5 linked regions of the Macaca mulatta genome follow. The protein of the gene in region 1 purifies or fractionates together with the protein of each later gene. This does not show direct contact. Links are inferred from orthologs where the notes say so. Each region holds a gene or a part of one and is shown on either strand. Other genes may lie near its edges. The genes, in order: EXOC5, EXOC7, EXOC3, EXOC1 and EXOC8.

Region 1 (3,513 bases):
CATGCAGTGGCACAGTCATGGCTTATGGCAACTTTGAACTCCTGGGCTCAAGCAATACTCCTGCCTCAGCCTCCTGAGTAGCTATAACTATAGGTGCATGCCACTGCACCCAGCTAATTTTTTCTTTTTTTGTAGAGATGGGGTCTTGCTGTTTTGTAGAGATGGGGGCCTAGGCTGTTCTTGAACTCTTGACTCCAAGCGATTCTCCCTCCTCAGCCTCTCAATAATTTTTTGTTTTGATTTAAACTGTTTTCCTAAAGGTTTCTTTTCCTACTAACTTATGCCACTGCTGGACTGTTTGTGTGTGCCAGTTTTTCTGTAATTATTGAATATTCTTTAAAAATTTTAATTTCATGGTTAAAAACATACATCGTAGCTGAGTTCTGATGCCTATAAAGAAAAAAAGTGCGTCAGTATTACCTTAATTTTTATGTCTTTCATTAATAACAATGATTCATATTTTCTACATATGTATTGATTTTTTTTCTCTTGTAAAGTTTATTTGTTATTGGAGCCTTCAGTTTTCTTACCAGTTGGTAATCTTGTCTTTTACTTGGGTGGGGGAGGGGAACACCTTTATTTTCCATTATTAAGACAAAAAAATCATTGTCCTGTAAAGAACTCTAGGTAATCAAGCCTGTATTTTCTCATTAGCTATGCATATTTTCTTTAGTCTCTTAAGTCTTTTTAGCTAGAAACATAAACATCTAGGACCTTAGAGTTCATCTGTTATTCTTTACAAAAAGGAGGAAATGGAAATCCAGAGGTCAGCTGACATTTTGAGGTCAGAATATGGAGTGGCTTGATTCCCTTTTTATTTTATTCTGAATAAATTCCAGAATAAAATCAGGTATGTAATCTGTAGATAGAACATTTTGAGTATTTTTGAGAAAATAGTGTAGAGTACCGTAAGTGAAATGTGTCAGTTTAGGCATATTACTATGGCAGCAGTATCTAGGATAAAAGATAAAGAGACTTGAATGAGGAAGACCAATGAGAGAATTATTCGAACTATTATCAGAGATAAAGAGGCCTGGTTATAAGAAATATGTGGAGATGTATTCATGGCTCACGTGAATCATGAAGGCAAAGTAGATAGATGGTGAACATTGGGCGTAAAAATAACTTTGGATGAGTTTTACTAGTATAAGCTTAGCTTGATTTTCCTCTTCTGTCCACAGAAGTCATTACTGATGTATTAAAACAGTGGTTTCATTTATGTTATAGATTTAAAAACCACATTCTTTTTTTCTGTTGCCAAGATGAATTTCTTCAAGGATGATTCTAACATATGTATGCTTTCTGGTTTTAGGAATTCCCTCTTCAGATTCTAGGAATGCAAATCTTTATTTTTTGGATGTTGTGCAACAGGCCAATACTATTTTTCATCTTTTTGACAAACAGTTTAATGATCACCTTATGCCACTAATAAGGTTAGTCAAATTATCTGATTTTCATTGATATTTCAGTGACTGTTACAGCATTCTACATAATATTCTACGTGTATTTTCATTAAATTTAAAAAGTACATGTTCACAAAAATGTCAGACTGGACAAGTGGAATGAAATAAAAATATAAAAATTCCTAGGAAATAAAACATTAAATATTGTTTCTTCTTGCATTTCTGTTTTCTCTTTCCACTATATTATTAATTTTGGTGTATTTCAAAAGATTTAATCTGTCACAAACCTAAATCTGAAATCTCATGTGAAAGAGGACCTCCAGCTTAGTGAAACTCAGCAAATTTGACATCTTTTAAAAGATCTCATAGACAAAGTCCATGTACCCACTTGTTATAAAGACATACAAAAAATTTTATAAGATTAATAGGACAGATTTTAATGAGGCATTAAGTAAAGTTTGGTTTATATCTTCATATCAATTTATGTGAACTTATAAAACATTTGAGAATCAAATAAGATGGTGTATATGTGAACATGCTTTACAAAATTCTCTTTAGCACTATTATGTAAGAGGAAAAATATTCATATAAAATTTTTTGACTTTTTGTTATAAACACTGACATGCCAAGAATAGTCCAGAAACAGTCTCAAAGATAACAGTCACTTGTAATCCCTGAGTCATACTTTGAAAGGAAATTTACTTTTCAAGATCTGTTATACCACATAGCAGAGAATTCACACAATTATTAGGGTTGCCTATTTCTTAATATTTTGAATGTTTTGACATTCTGATAGCATTCAGAAGGCAAATATGATTGTCAGGTTTTTAAAAATACAAGTGGATTGGCTGTTTCCCTCCAAATTTTATAGTATGATTTACTGTATTCTTAAAACTCTGGTGATGCTAGTCTATAGCTTTTGTTGGTGTTACACTAGATATTTGTTTATAAAGAAAACCAAATAATTCCACAATTTTAAAGTCACATTTATATTCTTGAGAGATGTCTCCTCAGAGATCAAAATAACAAATTTAAGTGGTCCTCTTCCTTAGTCTATTATAATGAATTGGGCATAGTGAATGCTAAATAATTACTTTGCTTCTTATATGCTTCTTGGATTTGTTAACAATATTAATGCATGTATATGGATGTATTTATAAATGGATACAATGTAATACACATCGATGTAAGAAAAACTTTCAGAAAATCTCATATTATTAATATGACTCTTTTTCCATTTTAAATATACAATAGCTCTTCTCCTAAGTTATCTGAATGCCTTCAGAAGAAAAAAGAAATAATTGAACAAATGGAGATGAAATTGGATACTGGCATTGACAGGCAAGTTGTTGGTTTTGTCTCTTGCATTTTTTAAAATTATAAAAACACCATATTATAGCAGCATGCAAATACTTTGTAGAGAAGAAAAATATTTATCTTAATTCCACCATATTGCTACAACATTTGATAAAAAAAAAATTATTTTTACATATTGCCTTCATCCTTATTAGAATGTTGTTTTTATTGGATCCTGAAGTTTTTTACTTTGGCCTATCTTGGCATTTAACATACCTTCCTCACTAAGCTTAATCATTTCTAGCTTTTGATTTAAAGTGAGAAGTATGTGACGTTTTTCAGTTGAACACTTAGAGGCCATTGTAGGATTATTAATTGTCCTAATTTCAATGTTACTGTGTTTCAAGGAATAGGGAGGCCCAAGGAGAGGCAGAGAGACAGGGAAATAGCCATTAACTGGAGTAATCAGAACACACACTATATTTGTCAGTTAGGTTCACTGTCTTCTATGGGTATGGTTTGTGACCCAAAACAATTAAAATAGTAACATCAAAGATCACTGATCACAGATCACCATAACAGATTTAGCAGTAATGAAAATGTTTTAAATATTGTAAGAATTACCAAAATGTGACACAGAAACACAAAGTGAGCCCATGCTGTTGGAAAAATGGCACTGATAGACTTGCGTTGCCACAAGCCTGCAACTTGTAAAAAAACAAACAAAACAAACCACAGTATCTGTGAAACACAATCAAATGAAGCAGAATAAAACAAGGTATGCCTGGATAATCAGAAGTGGGGTTGTTGGATC
Region 2 (4,215 bases), on another chromosome or scaffold:
GGTTGTCCACCTGAACCCAAAACATCCTCTCTGCAGCGGCTCACTAGCCCCCCTATTCTATTCTGTGACACCTAACAGTTTAAACTTTTCCCCACTTAGCCCTTAGGACGACACAAGGACCACGTCAGCGAAATCATCCTGGGTATTTCCTGACACAGGAATCTGCCCTTTACCTCCCCCACCTACAAAAGGACGGAAATTGTCCTCCTGCCCGAGGGAAGGCTGCCCATCCCTCTCCAGGCTCTGTACACCCATTTCCTCCTCCTCCTCTTTGGGTGGCTATGAGTAGAGGGAGCGCATGGGAACCCTAGAACTTGGTGCCCCCCAGGCTGGGAGTAGCGGCTCACGCCTGTAATCCCAGGACTTTGGGAAGCCGAGGTGGGTGGATCACTTGAGGTCATGAGTTCGAGACTAGACTGGGCAACATGGCAAAACCCTGTCTCTACCAACAATACAAAAAAATTAGCCGGGCGTGTTGGCAGCCGCCTGTAATCCCAGCTACTCAGGAGGCTGAGGCACGAGAATCACTTGAACCCGGGAGGCAGAGGTTTCAATGAGCGGAGATCGTGCCACTGAATTGCAGCCTGGGCGACAGAGTGATACTCCCTCTCACAACAAAAAAAGAAAAGCTTGGTGTCCGTCCCCCCCCCCCAACCTTCTCATCCACCAGCACATGCCTCCTTGTCTATCTTCCCGGTGTCTGGACACTGAGGCCACAGAAGGACTGAACCAAGTTGGTCGGCCATGTCCTGTCTCAAGGCCGGGGGCCAGAGGCAGGGTGGGCAGGGACTGGTTAGAGGAAGGAGTAATTCTAGGTTTTTCAGGAGCTGGGTCTACAACCACAACATCCAACCCTGCAGGGAAGTTGATCCAGGGGCGCCCACCACGCCATCCCCTGGAGCTGCAGCTGGAAGCTGGGACTGGGCCTGGAGCTCCGGAGCAGCCCCGCCAGCCCACAGGATACGGTTTTGCGTAATGCAGGGTTGAAGGGGAAAACGACTACACAAGCCCCTGGTTCATTACATGGACACACGTTAGGCATCTACTGTGTCACCTGCGCTGTGCCGGGCGCTGTGGGGAACACAATCGGCCTTGGTGCCTGCCCACAGAATGCGACCTGGGGAAAGGAATTCGTCGCCTTCCCCAGCAGTGTTTATGAAAAGGCTCGGTCTTTCAACGAAAACAGCAAGTGAGCTGTAAGCGTCCTACCAGCCGCGGGACATAAGGCCGATCAAAAACCTCTCCTGAGGAAAGGAACCCGCGTCGAGATCCCTTGTAGGATCCGAGTACACGTCACTCCACAGCCACACTCAAGATGGCCGTCGGTCCGTTCCTGGGCTCCGCGCAGGCGCACTTCCGCCTTCCACGCCCAACCTGGCTCCGCCCAGGTGTCCCGGGGCGGGACCAAGAGCGGAAGTGGGTGTGACGGGGACTGGGGCCCGGTGCGCCAGCGAAGGAGAGATAGTGGGGAGTGGGAGCCGTGGGGTTCGGAGCGATGATTCCCCCACAGGAGGCATCCGCCCGAAGGCGGGAGATCGAGGACAAGCTGAAGCAGGTGGGCGTGGGCCTGGGGAGGAGGTGAGGGAAAGAGGCCAACAGCGGGGCCTGAGTGTCTACTCGGAGAGGAGGCAGGGGTGGGAGGGAGCGCACCGAGCGAGGAGATGGGGTTGGGGGCTAGGCCGTGGGGTCGGGACACAGTGGTCTCCTTTAGCTTCTGGTTTCTGGTGATGTCCTCCCCTTGCCTGCTCCCAGGAGGAGGAGACGCTGTCCTTCATCCGAGACAGCCTGGAGAAGAGCGACCAGCTCACTAAGAACATGGTGAGTCTCCTCGCAGCTGGGGGAGGGGGCAGGCCTCCGGACCCTGGGGGAAAGCCTTGCGACCTGGCGGTTCCAGTTCTTGCGGCCTGGGGTTCTGTCATGGGTAGCGACGCAGGCAGTGTGTGGGTTTATCTAGCAGCAGTTTGGCATCTCTCCTGCCTAGCCCCCTCCCCATATTCCGTCCCCTCACTGAGGAGGCTGCGCTTCCCCCTGGCCTGGACTTGCTGCTTTCTGTCTAAGCTCGCCATTCTTCCTTCTCTCCTTCTGCAAATACTCAGTGAGTCTGACCAGTTAGTTGGGCTAGGTACTGGGCATATGTCATCGTCAATGGATCCTCTGCCCAGGAGGTTGGCACTTTGAGATTCCTGAGAGCAGAGAAGACTCAGCCTTCACTCCAGAGGGCTTCAGGGAAAGAAAGAGCTCTGAAGTCAGGCAGATCTGGGATCTAGTCCTTGCCCTGCTGCTTAAGTGTGTGGCTCCTGATAGGTAACTCTGGTGTCAGCGAATTCATCTGCTAAAGCAGAGACTGTGCCAGCCTCCCAGTGTGTCTGTGAAGGTCATATGCGCTAATGCATGCGACTGCATCTTGCTCAGTGCCTGGTATACAATAGGTGCTCAATAAGTGAGGTTCCTTCTTTATTCCTAGGGGAGACTGGAAAAGCACAAAGTGAGTAAATACAAACTTGTATTTGTATTTAGTCACACAATAATAAAGTCCTAGTCCTTTTCTAAAAAATTTAATTTTAAAATTATTTCTTTTTAGAGACAGGGTCTGGCTCTGTTGTGCAGGCTAGAGTGCAGTGGCATGACCGTAGCTCACTGCAGTCTCTAACTCCTGGGCTCAGGCAGTCCTCCTGCCTCGGCATCCTAGTAGCTGGGACTGTAGGCACATACCACCACACCTTGCTAATTATGTGCGTGTGTGTGTCTGTGTGTGTAGACAGGGTCTCACTGTGTTGTCCAGGCTGGTCTTGGACTCCTAGTCTCAAGCAATCCTCCTGCCTCAGCCTCCCAAATTCTTAGGATTACAGGCATGAACCATCACGCCCAGCCTCTAGTCCTTATTCAATGAGTTTCATCCTTAAGAGAGTTTTGAAGATACAGAAATGCATTTGAGGCTTCTCTGTATGAAACTACTTCCAGTCCAGTTTAGGAATGCTTCAAAGAGAGCAGAAGTTGAGATTTGGCTTCAAAGGGTGGAAGGGAAGCCATCTTGGGCTGATTATTTTAGGAAGAATTAATTTGATGCTTGGTTTGCCTTCAAATAAAATTTCAACCAATTTGTCTTAAATCACCTACTATATGCTAGGCACATGATGGGTGCTGAGGATACAATGGGGAACAGATACACCCTCTTCCTTCCCTTGTGGAGTTTATTGTCTAGAAACCCAGAGAAAAGGCAGGAAATGCCCAAGGTGGGTGTGTAGAAGCAGTGCTGGGACCACCATGAGGCCTGAGATCAAGAGGCTTCCCTCCTGCAGGTGTCTATCTTATCATCCTTTGAGAGCCGCCTTATGAAGCTGGAGAACTCCATCATCCCCGTGCACAAGCAGACGGAGAATCTGCAGCGGCTGCAGGAGAATGTTGAGAAGACACTGTCCTGCCTGGACCATGTCATCAGCTACTACCATGTGGCCAGTGACACTGAGAAGATCATCAGAGAGGGGTGAGTTAGGCCCATAGGGTCAATTCCTAATCCCTCCTGGACCGGAGGGTTGGTCTGTAATCCCAATAATTTGGGATGCTGATGCGGGAGGATCACTTGAGACCAGGAGTTCAAGACCAGCCTGGACAACACAGTGAGATGCCTTTTAAGCCCTAAGCCTTAAAAGGCGGTGGGGGGGATAGCATATATTTGAACCTGGAGTCCCATGTATTAATTCTCTTCTTTCCCTTCCAAATACTGTGTCCTTAGTCCTTCTTCACCCCCCTTGCCCCAGCCTGACCTGGCTCTTTTGCTTCCCAGCCCCACAGGTAGGCTGGAAGAGTACCTGGGAAGCATGGCCAAGATTCAGAAGGCAGTGGAGTATTTCCAGGACAACAGCCCAGACAGCCCAGAACTCAACAAAGTGGTAAGGGATCTGCAGAATAATGTGAGGAGCTTGGGGATATCAGTCTCTGCCCTGGTCTCATGAGGGACATGGGGCCAGCTTGAGGATGTATACAGTAGAATACACAGAAGGATATAGCACAGTACATCCTCTAGGCATTAGTATCTCTGCCTCAAGAATTGCACATTTTTTATTATTAAAAATTCTTTATTATAAAACTTTTAAATGTATTATAAAAATTAAATTATAAATTACATATAAAATATATACTTAACATTTGATTTTTTTTTTTTTTTTCTCCTGAGACAGAGTCTTGCTCTGTCACCCAGGCTGGAGTGCAGTGCTC
Region 3 (4,290 bases), on another chromosome or scaffold:
TTTCTTGTATTTCTGGTAGAGACGGGGTTTCACCATGTTAGCCAGGATGGTCTGGATCTCCTGACCTCGTGATCCGCCCGCCTCAGCCTCCCAAAGTGCTGGGATTACAGGCGTGAGCCACCGTGCCCCACCAAGAAAGACTTTTAATGTTAAGAAGTTACTAGACAGTCCATCCAAATTCACTACCAGACATTGAATAACAGTATGTCTTTAGTTCATAATACTCAATGTTACTATATTTTGAAGAGTCCTAAAAGCTTTGGTAATTTTGGCCATTTTTTTTCCTTCATTAGTTTCAAAATTAGTCATAATTTCTAACATAATTTTAACTTTTTTTAAAAAAATTTTTTCATTGCTCAACTTGTTGCTAGATTTTCAGAAATTACAAGGAAAAACGGAAATAACAGAGCCGGGGTGTTAGCATCAGCAGGGCACGGGGCAGGGCTCCTTGTGGGAGTGGCAGCGGGGGCTCCCACAGCTCCATCTCCATTCTGTGCGACCCCGCCCTATGCTGCTGCCACTTTCCTTGTCTCTGCTGGCTTCTCTGCCACCTTCCAGACCCTTCCTTTTGTGTGGCCGATTTTCGGGAGGGGCCAGGGGCACAACCTAGCAGCTGCAACCTATGAAGGACTTTCTTGTTAGTTGGTGCATCCTTTATCAAACAGACAAACCCCGAATGCTGGTGGTTTAGCACGTGCTTTTTCCTCCTGGTGAAGCCAAACGCTGGCCGTGGGCCTCTTTTCCAAGCAGCGACTCAGGACCGGCCCTCTGCAGCAGCGGCCCAGTGACACACATTCATTCTCCAAGACCCGCGCCGCTGGGCCTCTGAGGGGCCCCAGAAACATCCCGTGGCCACCCATCCCAGGGCACTGTTCCCACGTGGGTGCCGATGACTGTGCTCCTGCAGGGGCTGAGTTCGTGTTTGGGTCCAAGGGGTACCCAAAGCCGCTAGTCTGCTGGTGGCAGGCAGACAGACGCTTGATTCCCAACTTTCCCCGCTTTCGTTTCCTCGTTTACTGAATGCTCGGCGCCCACCTCAGTCCGCGGCAAAGGTGGGACGCCCCTGCCACACTGCAGTGCGGACGGCAAGGCCAACATAAAGACATGAGGCGTCAGCAGAGGACGGAGCCACAGCGGCTCTGTGGCTGTCTTCTCTCCGGAGGTCGGGAAGGGAACGGAGAGAAAACGCAGGCAGCCACGCTGGGCGGAGGCTTCCAAGACTGCGCCGGCCCTGGGGAAGGGCGCACGCGGGGGTCGCCGGAGGCAGCGAGAGGGCCTGAGTTGGGGGGGCTGGGACGGGCAAGGAGACCCCCACCCCGGCAGTTACCATGTCCTGCTGGGGAGCGGCCACGGGGCAGGTCTCCGAGCTGAAGTCGCTCGGCCAAGAGACGGGCACCCGCCCCGCCCGGAGGGCCGGACCCATGCTTCCGGCGCCGTTGCCGGAAGCGGAAGTACCCGTTCGCTGTCCACTTCCGGGACTCCGGAGGCGGTGGCTGAGGCTGCGGCGTAGGCTTAGAGGGTGAGTCGGCGGCAGGTCCGGACGGCCCGCGGGTCCCTGGGCGGTGGTCGCCGTGTTTCATCCTTGCTCTCCCTGTCTCTGGCTTCCGCGGGGGCGCGTAGGGGGAGGCCGGACCGGGACCTGGAGGGTAGGGAGGCCGTTCCGGGTCCCGTGGAGTATCCCGCTCGTGCGAGTGTCCTCGGCGCAGGTGTTCCCTCGGCGCAGGTGTCCTACCCGGCACATGTGTCCCCCCAGGCACAAGTGTCCTTCCTGGTGCAGGTTTCTCCTTGACGGTGTCTCCCCCGCACCAGGCGCAGGTGTCCTTCCTGGCGCAGGTGTCCCCCCTTCGGAGCAGGTGTCCCTCCTTGGGGCAGGTGTCCCTCCAGGCACAAGTGTCCTTCCTGGCGCAGGTGTCCTCCAAGGTGCAGGTGTCCCCTCAGGCACAGGTGTCCCCCCAGGCACAAGTATCCTTCCTGGTACAGGTGTCCCCTTGACGGTATCCGCCCCCCCAGGCGCAGTTGTCCTTCCTGGCGCAGGTGTCCCCTCTCGGACCAGGTGTCCCTCCTCGGAGCAGTGTCCCTCCGGGCACAAATGTCTTTCCTGGTGCAGGTGTCCTCCAAGGTGCACGTGTCCCTCCAGCGGAGGTGTCCCCTCCGTGAGGTGCCCCCCAGCACAGGTGTTCCCCTCGACGCAGGCATCCCCCCGGTGACGTGTCCCTCCCGGCGGAGGTGCCCGCCCGGCAGAGGTGTCTCCCTGGTGCAGGTGTCCCCCTGCCGCAGGTGTCCCCCTGGGTGCTGATGTTCCCCTCAGTAGGGTGTCCCCCCCGCTCGGTGGAGAGACTCACAGCAGAGCCAGCGCCAGGGAAAGGCAGTCAGAAAGACCCTGGTAGGGGTTGAACCTGGGTTTCTATTTGTGGCTTCTGAGTTCCTCTTTGGCTTCTTGACCCAAAATCTTTAGTCTTCAGGCTGGGATGAAAACCTCTGCGTTGTGTTTTTTAACTTAAGGTTTTCCCTTTTCCCACATTAGTAGCTTTGTTCTGACTCCAAGGTGAGCCTGCTTCTGCTTCCCAGCTCTTCACTCACATCGCCTTGGCTTCCACCCACAGCATGACAGACTTCACTCCAGCCTGGAGATGGGTCCAGTCACCTCACTGTGTGCACCAGCAGAGTGCTGGGTGTCCACTTCTTGGGTTGTTATCCAGCCCTATAATCAAAACCATGCAGACTTTAATGTCAATGGAAATGCTGATGATAATATCCAAACAAAATAAGAAAACAAAAGTGTGCACCTGCGAAGTCATAGAAGCAATGGAACGTTAGCTTTAAAAGAAACTCAAAGGGAAAAAACTGGAAGGAAACAAGCCCTGTTGGAGGGAGTTGCCCAAGTGTCAGGATTTAAGGGGAGTTGCCTGAGTGTTGGGATTTAAGGGGAGTTGCCTGAGTGTCGGGATTTAAGGGGAGTCGCCCTGAGTGTCGGGATTTAAGGGGAGTTGCCCGAGTGTCGGGATTTAAGGGGAGTTGCCCGAGTGTCGGGATTTAAGGGGAGTTGCCCTTGAGTATTGGGATTTAAGGGGAGTCGCCCTTGAGTGTCGGGATTTAAGGGGAGTCGCCCTTGAGTGTTGGGATTTAAGGGGAGTTGCCTGAGTGTCGGGATTGAAGGGGAGTTGCCCTTGAGTGTCGGGATTTAAGGAGAGTTGCCTGAGTGTGGGGATTTAAGGGGAGTTGCCCCTGGGTGTTGGGACTTTGTATTTTTGTCCTGTCCAGATTTTGTACATTGTATGCCTAATTTCGTAATCAGAAAATAAAGAGAAAGGAAAGGTTGCAATGTAGGTCCAGATGAAAAAGGAGAAGAGAGGGGTCTGAAAGCATGTGGGCACGGAGAATGAAAAATTCCAGGAGAAGGCGAATCTTGTTAATATTCATGAAGATGAAAATCGAACAGCTGAAATCAAGGGGAACAGGTGTATCAGATTCCCGCATTGACCAGATGCTCACCAAGCAGCTGTCTTAGCTCCCCGAGGAGGACGATGGTGGAGGGAGCATGGAAGGCAGGCTTGCCTGCCATCTGAGCACCTGTGGTCTGCATCGGACCTGCATAAAGGAGGGAAGCGCAATGTTTTCTATGGCAGTTAAAAAAGGGGGAAATGGGGTTTTGGATACCCAAGACAGTAATGAGTTTTTTTGTTGCTGTTTGTTTGTTTTTTTTGTTTTTTGAGACAGAGTCTTGCTTTGTTGCCCAGGCTGGAGTGCAGTGACGCAATCTCAGCTCACTGCAAGCTCCACCTCCTGGGTTCATACCATTCTCCTGCCTCAGCCTCTTGAGTAGCTGGGACTACAGGCAGGCGCCACCATGCCCGGCTAATTTTTTTTTGTATTTTTAGTAGATACAAGGTTTCGCTGTGTTAGCCAGGATGGTCTCAATCTCCTGACCTGGTGATCTACCCACGTCAGCCTCCCAAAGTGCTGGGATTACAGGCGTGAGCCACCGGGCCCGGCTGACAATAGTAACTTTTATAGGGAATTGTGGGGCTTGTGCTGGGCCTCCAGCTGTGGTACCTATTTGGGGGAGATGTCTGTGCTGCATTTGTCTTCACTGAGGGTCCTGGTACAGCTGCCCACAGGCCTGGCCAAGGTGCTGGGGGAAGGCTCCCGAAATGAGAAACCAGCCCTATCTTGGGGAGAGATGTGCCTTGGAGACTGACATCTACATGGTGGGTGGTTTGGGACCCACATCTAGAATCTTCCAAATGTCCATGTCTCTCATGCCTATGAAACGCACCTGCTCTCCCCTTA
Region 4 (3,513 bases), on another chromosome or scaffold:
AAATAAAACCTATTCATAATCATTAGGAACCACTTACATTTTAGGGTTCATATGGGCTTATGACTATGCAAAATTGAAAATCTTTTTTTTTTTTTTTTTAAGATGGGCCTCACTCTGTCACCCAGGCTGGAGTGCAGTGGCATTATGTTGGCTCACTGCAACCTCCACCTCCCAGGCTCAAATGATCCTCCCACCTCACCTTCCCAAGTAGCTGGGACTACAGGTGCACCCCACCACACCCTGCTAATTTTTTGTAGAAAATCATTTTTTAAACACAAAAACATGACCTTCCAGATTACATTTGCATTTCAACAAGTGGTCTTCTAGAGATGATGGGCTGTGATGTGTGTGTGACCTTAAGCAAATCAATTCATTTATTTAGGCCTCAGTTTTCCATATCTATTATACAAGGAAATTAGTACTAAAATACAGGAGAAATTAGTGCTGAAATACTATAACTCGCTTTCTTCCTGTGTCAGATCCCACAATTAAGTTACAGAAAAGTCTGGGCATGTCATTTCATGTGAAATAAATGATCTGATTGCATATATTCAGGAATTGTAGAAGCTAAAGAATTGGCAGGAAATGGAATCATTTCACCAATTATTGCCCAGGCTGGAGTACTGTGGCATAATCTCGGCTCACTGCAACCTTCACCTCCTGAGTTTGAGCAATTCTCCTGCCTCAGCCTCCTAAGTAGCTGGAATTATAGGCAGGTGTCATCACACCCAGCTAATTTTTGTATCTTTAGTAGAGACGGGGTTTCACCATGTTGGCCAGACTTGTCTCAAACTCTTGACCTCAAGTGATCTGCCTGCCTTGGCCTCCCAAAGTGCTGGGATTACAGGCATGAACCACTGTGCCCGCCCTTGATTTTTCCTTTTAAAATTCAAAGTAGCTTTGCTTTATCTGATTCTAAAGTAATGTGGCTAGGCACACTGGCCCACACCTGTAATCGCCGTACTTTGGAAGGACCAGTTTGGGGATTGCTTGAGCCCAGGAGTTGAAGACCAGCCTGGGCATCATAGTGAGGCCTTGTCTCTATAAAAAAAATCAAAAAAATTAGCCAGGTGTGGTGGTGTGTCCCTGAGTTTCAGCTACACAGGAGGCTGAGGCAGGAGAATCATTTGAGCTCAGGAGGTCAAGGCTGCAGTGAGCCTTGTTCATGCCACTGCACTCTAGCCTGGATGACAACGCCAGACCATGTGTTAAAAATAAATAATAAATGAATTAATTCATTCATTATTCTTTGTAAATGAATTAATTCATTTATAAAGAAACTAAAATGTATAAAACTTAAGAACAGACAGATATTCCTTTAATTGGATAAAAAATCTATCTCAGGCCTAAAGCTTACATGACACTTAACTGCAATAGTAGAGACATTCCCTCTGAAATCAGTTTAAAGCAGAAATATTGTTAGATCCTTTATTATTTAGCATTGTTATTGAAGTGCTAGCCAGTACAAGACCTGAAACATAACTATTTATCCACAAAAATCAGCAAATAGAATTTTCAAATCAGGAAGAAAGATCATTTTTAATCTTATTGTACAGAGATAATGTTAAATTTTTATTCTTCCAAACTTTTCAATTCCCTGTCCCTCTCTTCTATATATGTGCATATTGTGTGTGTGTGTTTTCTTTAATATAAAAATGTTATCATATCTGACACACTATTTTTGAAGCTGCTGGACTCTATGTAATCTTAGTACCTTTCCTTGTTAGTTAATATAGATAAACAAAATCATTTTTAACGATTACATAGTCATCCATATGTCATTATCCATTTACCAAATCTTCTATTAATAAACATTTAGGGTTTTTTTAACCTGTATCATTTTCCTACTAAAAGTTACCAGTCTTTCCCTACTGTCACAGGGAGTTTTGATTTATGTCGCTCACTGTGAGGATTCAGTGAATAAGTTGTGTACACATATAATAGTTCGTCTGGTACTGTCATTTCCCTTTTACATGACATTCCAAAATGACAAAAACCATTGGCGATCATACACACACACGCGCGCGCGCGCGCGCGCGCACGATCAAGACATATTGATCTACATCAGAAAGAATAAAATGTAAAAATCTAATGCAGTATAAAGAGTCAATGATCAAATTATGCTTAATGAATCTTATAATTCATTTAATTTCCCCTGCCCACAATTCTCCTAAATTGTACTTTTGTTGTAATTAGTTTAGAACATGGAAATTTGCAATGTATTTTTATTTTGAACATATTGTCTAAGTTGGAACTTTCCAAAATTTGTCAAGAATCAAAATAAAGAGAAACATCTTGTGAGTTTCAAATATCTCTTCTAATAATACATGCTCAAAAAATAGATAATGAGATAACTACATATGCACACACACATCACTCACTATGAAGATTCAGTAAATAAGTTAATGCATGTTCTTCTATACTCTCTGGTACATACAATAAAAAGTTTTCAACACAGAAAAAAATAAAATAAAATAAAATAAACATTTAGGGTTTTTTTAGTTTATATATCTTTGTATACTTGTCAAATAATTTCTTTAGGGTAAATTACTAGAAATGGAATTACTGGGTCAAAGGGTTTATGTATCTCAAGTCTTTTCCCAAATTGTGATACAGAAAGCTTATGTCAGTTTAGTGCTATGAGCAGTTGCATTACAACTGTACAAATGCTGGATATTACTAGGTATTACCAATCTTTTTATTCTGTGTCAACCTGATAGGCTATAAATTATCTCACTATTTTATTTTGCATTTCATTGATTTTGTGTATGGTGTGTTTACATGAATTTTCAAATTTTATGTCCAATTTATTCATCTTTCCCCTTAATAGTCTTCTGAATTTTGGGCCATTCTCAGCAAGGTCACCCCATCACAAAATTATTATTTTTCAATTAGCTATATTTTCTTTAGTACTTATGATTATATTAATTTATTTGTTTGCTTTTTACATTTTAAATAATTTAGCAATTCAGAATTTGGCTGCAAGATGTAAAATAGGGACCTAAATTTCATATATTAAAATGGTCCAGCTGGTTGTCCTAACACACTTTGAATAATTCATCATTTCTCCATTGATTTGAAACGCTACTTTTATTATATACTGAATTTCCATGTACACATGGGACTGTTTTAGGATAACTTTTTATGATGATTAGGTAGATCTGAAAACTCCCATTACAATATATTTTATTAAGTCCAGAAATGTGCTTAATTCTTAAACTTACAAATGAAAAAATAATCATATAAATGTTTGTGGCTAAATACGGTCATACTCAGAGATGTTATTTTATTTTTTCTGTTTTGGTTTTAGTGGAGAAAGTAGCAAATGAAAGCCAGAAGACCCCCAGGGATGTGGTTATGATGGAAAACTTTCACCATATTTTTGCAACTCTTTCTCGATTGAAAATCTCATGTCTAGAAGCAGAAAAAAAAGACGCCAAACAAAAATACACAGATCACCTTCAGTCTTATGTCATTTACTCTTTAGGACAACCTCTTGAAAAACTAAATGTA
Region 5 (4,055 bases), on another chromosome or scaffold:
ACTGAAGATCCCCACTGCAACACACGAGCTCACTAAAGTGGGTTCCTAACGGGAAAGAGAGGAGGGGAACGCACATCCTTTGGAGGTTACTCTGCGTCCTCAGCACTTTCTTAGGGGCAGATTTGGTTGCTTTTCCCTTCAGGGTCCTACAGCACTATCATAAGGCAAATCAGGAACTTGTTATTTTCAAGTTTAGTGAGATTCAAACACAAATCTCTTTTCTCGTTAGGGCCCTGAGTCCAACCGTGGCGGTGGGGTCTACACAGCTTTCTTATTTTTCGAGTGGGAGAAAAGGTAAGAAAAAGAGAAATACGCCAAGGCAGGAATTGCCAGGTCCAAAACCAGACTCCCCCCTCATTTAATGCCCCCTGGGACCGTCGGACCAGAGAAAGGAGAGAAGACCAGGACCGGGGGCTGCAGGAGAACTGCCAGTCCCGCCTCTTTCCCCAGCGGGGCTCGGAACTCACAGGGTCATTCGCACGCTCCACTTCACCTCGACGGCCTCCAGCTGGCCCCAGAAGAACTGGTCGTTAAACTGAACAAACAGGGCCTGCAAGTCCGGTGTGGGGTCCACCAACTCCCACGACGCGTCCACTAGCGACAGGGACTCCTGGGCCTGATCGCGCTCCGCCTCCTGCAAGTTCCACTCCTCCTGAAGCCGCAGGGCCAACATCAGGTCATCGTCCATCGTTGCCAGGATCACAGGCGGGATCCGCCGGTGTCAGGCTGGCTCCGAGTTAGGCTGCGACCCCAAGCCGCCTAGCGGAGGACCAGGACTAGCTCCTAGGAGATACCGGCTCTCGAGACGGCCAGTCAATCCCGCGAGAGTTCGCGGAAACTCGCTTGAGAAAGAGAACGTGAACGAGAACGGCGCTTACCCCAAACGCCGAAGCCAAGATTCTAGGGCTTTAAAACAAGCAGTCAGCACGACACCTCCTAGTGGGCGCAGAACCTGGGCTCACAGGGCACCGGCCCTACGAAGCTTTCAGGAAGCTAGTTCCAGCCTTTACTCTTTGCCGGTTATTTCAAACCTCAACGTCACGCTCGGTTCATGCGCAGTACTCAAATTGCTCTCGGCCTCTCCACTCACTTCCGCACTAGCTCCTCCGGCGCATGCGCCTTAACTGATGGCATTCCTGCGCAGGCGCAATGTCTGCGCCTGGCCCCTTGCGCAGGCGCAGTGTCTGACGCTCAGACCCGGCGCAGGCGCACTCGTCTTGTTCCAATTCCTGCTTCCTCAGCCCAGGAGCTCGGTGGGTCTTGGGTGGGTGTAGACAGCCGCGGCGGCTGCGGCGCCGATAGTGACAGTGAGTGCGTGAGACCCGGACGGAAATGGCGATGGCGATGTCGGACAGTGGGGCGAGCCGCCTGCGTCGGCAGCTGGAGTCAGGGGGTTTTGAGGCGCGGCTGTACGTGAAGCAGCTCTCGCAGCAGTCGGATGGGGACCGGGACCTCCAGGAGCACCGGCAGCGCATCCAGGCGCTGGCGGAGGAGACGGCGCAGAACCTGAAGCGCAACGTCTACCAGAACTACCGGCAGTTCATAGAGACGGCCCGTGAGATCTCCTACCTGGAGAGCGAGATGTACCAGCTCAGCCACCTGCTGACGGAGCAGAAGAGCAGCCTGGAGAGCATCCCGCTTACGTTGCTGCCTGCCGCAGCTGCCGCCGGAGCCGCTGCCGCGTCTGGCGGGGAGGAGGGAGTCGGTGGGGCGGGGGGCCGAGACCACCTCCGAGGCCAGGCCGGTTTTTTCTCCACCCCCGGTGGCGCCTCCCGCGACGGCTCCGGTCCAGGCGAGGAAGGAAAGCAGCGCACTCTCACCACCCTGCTTGAGAAGGTGGAAGGCTGCAGGCATTTGCTGGAGACGCCGGGACAGTACCTGGTGTACAACGGGGACCTAGTGGAATACGATGCCGACCACATGGCCCAACTGCAGCGGGTGCACGGCTTTCTCATGAACGATTGTTTGTTGGTGGCTACCTGGCTGCCGCAGCGGCGGGGGATGTATCGCTACAACGCTCTCTATTCCCTAGATGGTTTGGCCGTAGTCAATGTCAAGGACAACCCGCCCATGAAGGACATGTTCAAGCTGCTTATGTTCCCCGAGAGCCGTATTTTCCAGGCCGAAAATGCTAAAATAAAACGAGAGTGGCTGGAAGTGCTGGAGGAGACCAAGAGAGCCCTCAGTGAGAAAAGGCGAAGGGAGCAGGAGGAGGCAGCGGCCCCTCGAGGGCCACCCCAAGTGACTTCCAAGGCCACTAACCCATTTGAGGATGACGAAGAAGAAGAGCCAGCTGTTCCTGAGGTAGAGGAAGAGAACGTGGACCTCTCCATGGAATGGATCCAGGAGTTACCTGAAGACCTGGATGTCTGCATTGCGCAGAGGGACTTTGAAGGGGCTGTTGACCTGCTGGATAAATTGAACCATTACCTGGAAGATAAGCCTAGCCCACCTCCTGTAAAAGAACTAAGGGCCAAAGTGGAGGAGCGAGTTCGACAGCTCACTGAGGTGCTGGTTTTCGAACTCTCCCCAGATCGTTCCCTGAGAGGTGGTCCCAAGGCTACTCGCAGAGCAGTTTCGCAACTGATCCGGCTGGGCCAGTGCACGAAGGCCTGTGAGCTATTTTTGAGAAACAGGGCAGCCGCTGTTCATACAGCAATTCGTCAGCTTCGCATTGAAGGCGCCACTTTACTCTATATTCATAAGCTGTGCCATGTCTTCTTTACCAGCCTTCTTGAGACTGCAAGAGAATTTGAGATTGATTTTGCAGGCACTGACAGCGGCTGCTACTCCGCCTTTGTGGTCTGGGCAAGATCAGCCATGGGCATGTTCGTGGATGCTTTCAGCAAGCAGGTGTTTGATAGTAAGGAGAGCCTCTCAACAGCAGCTGAGTGTGTAAAAGTGGCTAAGGAGCATTGCCAGCAACTGGGTGATATCGGACTGGACCTCACCTTCATCATCCATGCCCTTCTGGTGAAAGACATCCAAGGGGCCTTGCACAGTTACAAAGAAATCATCATTGAAGCCACTAAACATCGCAACTCTGAAGAGATGTGGAGAAGGATGAACTTGATGACGCCAGAAGCCCTGGGGAAGCTCAAAGAAGAGATGAAAAGCTGTGGGGTAAGTAACTTTGAGCAGTACACAGGGCATGACTGCTGGGTGAACCTAAGTTACACAGTGGTTGCTTTCACCAAACAGACCATGGGCTTCTTGGAAGAGGCTCTGAAGCTGTATTTCCCAGAGCTGCACATGGTACTTTTGGAGAGCCTGGTGGAAATCATTTTGGTTGCTGTTCAGCATGTGGATTATAGTCTTCGATGTGAGCAGGATCCAGAGAAGAAAGCTTTTATCAGACAGAATGCATCCTTCTTATATGAAACAGTCCTCCCTGTGGTGGAGAAAAGGTTTGAAGAAGGTGTGGGGAAACCTGCCAAGCAACTCCAAGATCTGAGGAATGCATCTAGACTTATTCGTGTGAATCCTGAAAGTACAACATCAGTGGTCTAATGCTTGGGTCTGTTTATATGTATGTATATATATAGAGAGAGCGCTTATATATTATTTATATTTATATTAAGTTGTATTAGCATACTCTTTATAGTTTCAAACACAACTTGAAAATTAAAAGTGCCCTCTTAGAATACAAAAATCAAAAAGAGGAAAAGAAGTTAAATTAAGCCCAAATAACAAAAATACTGGAATTATTAAAACATATAGTATGCTAGCTATCCTTTTAAATTATGCTGATTCTCTTCTGAAATTATGGTCACACTATACACTATAGCATTTCAGTTTCATCCTTTGATAAAACACTTTTTGGTTTTTTTTTTTTTTTTTTGAGACAGGGTCTCACCCTGTTGCCCAGGCTGGAGTACAGTGGCAACGTCACAACTAACTGCAGCCTTGACCTCCCAGGCCCAGGCAATCCTCTCACCTCAGCCTCCCATGTAGCTGGAACCACAGGCTGGCACCACCATACCCAGCTAATTTTTGTATTTTTTGTAGAGATGGGGTTTTACCATGTTGCCCAGGCTAGTGTTTTCTTTCTTCTT

The links.
Region 2: the proteins of EXOC5 (region 1) and EXOC7 fractionate together in Homo sapiens (co-fractionation; 4 studies listed by BioGRID and IntAct, with this or other methods). This does not show direct contact. The link is inferred for Macaca mulatta from reciprocal best matches to the Homo sapiens genes EXOC5 and EXOC7.
Region 3: the proteins of EXOC5 (region 1) and EXOC3 purify together in Homo sapiens (affinity purification with mass spectrometry; 7 studies listed by BioGRID and IntAct, counting the BioPlex papers as one, with this or other methods). This does not show direct contact. The link is inferred for Macaca mulatta from reciprocal best matches to the Homo sapiens genes EXOC5 and EXOC3.
Region 4: the proteins of EXOC5 (region 1) and EXOC1 purify together in Homo sapiens (affinity purification with mass spectrometry; 4 studies listed by BioGRID and IntAct, counting the BioPlex papers as one, with this or other methods). This does not show direct contact. The link is inferred for Macaca mulatta from reciprocal best matches to the Homo sapiens genes EXOC5 and EXOC1.
Region 5: the proteins of EXOC5 (region 1) and EXOC8 purify together in Homo sapiens (affinity purification with mass spectrometry; 5 studies listed by BioGRID and IntAct, counting the BioPlex papers as one, with this or other methods). This does not show direct contact. The link is inferred for Macaca mulatta from reciprocal best matches to the Homo sapiens genes EXOC5 and EXOC8.

What each region holds. Positions count from the first base shown.
Region 1 is NC_133412.1:130,332,595-130,336,107, reverse strand, and holds part of EXOC5 (exocyst complex component 5), read left to right. Parts: intron 1-1,312; coding exon 1,313-1,433; intron 1,434-2,657; coding exon 2,658-2,744; intron 2,745-3,513. UniProt on the Homo sapiens protein: Component of the exocyst complex involved in the docking of exocytic vesicles with fusion sites on the plasma membrane.
Region 2 is NC_133421.1:85,832,948-85,837,162, reverse strand, and holds the start of EXOC7 (exocyst complex component 7), read left to right. Parts: upstream 1-1,412; 5' UTR 1,413-1,495; coding exon 1,496-1,555; intron 1,556-1,752; coding exon 1,753-1,818; intron 1,819-3,299; coding exon 3,300-3,484; intron 3,485-3,784; coding exon 3,785-3,890; intron 3,891-4,215. UniProt on the Homo sapiens protein: Component of the exocyst complex involved in the docking of exocytic vesicles with fusion sites on the plasma membrane.
Region 3 is NC_133411.1:1,538,461-1,542,750, forward strand, and holds the start of EXOC3 (exocyst complex component 3), read left to right. Parts: upstream 1-1,480; 5' UTR 1,481-1,519; exon of another isoform or gene 1,520-1,899; intron 1,900-1,993; exon of another isoform or gene 1,994-2,196; intron 2,197-4,290. UniProt on the Homo sapiens protein: Component of the exocyst complex involved in the docking of exocytic vesicles with fusion sites on the plasma membrane.
Region 4 is NC_133410.1:77,573,697-77,577,209, reverse strand, and holds part of EXOC1 (exocyst complex component 1), read left to right. Parts: intron 1-3,310; coding exon 3,311-3,510; intron 3,511-3,513.
Region 5 is NC_133406.1:17,695,470-17,699,524, forward strand, and holds EXOC8 (exocyst complex component 8), read left to right. Parts: upstream 1-1,242; 5' UTR 1,243-1,332; coding exon 1,333-3,510; 3' UTR 3,511-3,839; downstream 3,840-4,055. Other genes in the region: DNA-dependent metalloprotease SPRTN, read right to left, coding at 468-688. UniProt on the Homo sapiens protein: Component of the exocyst complex involved in the docking of exocytic vesicles with fusion sites on the plasma membrane.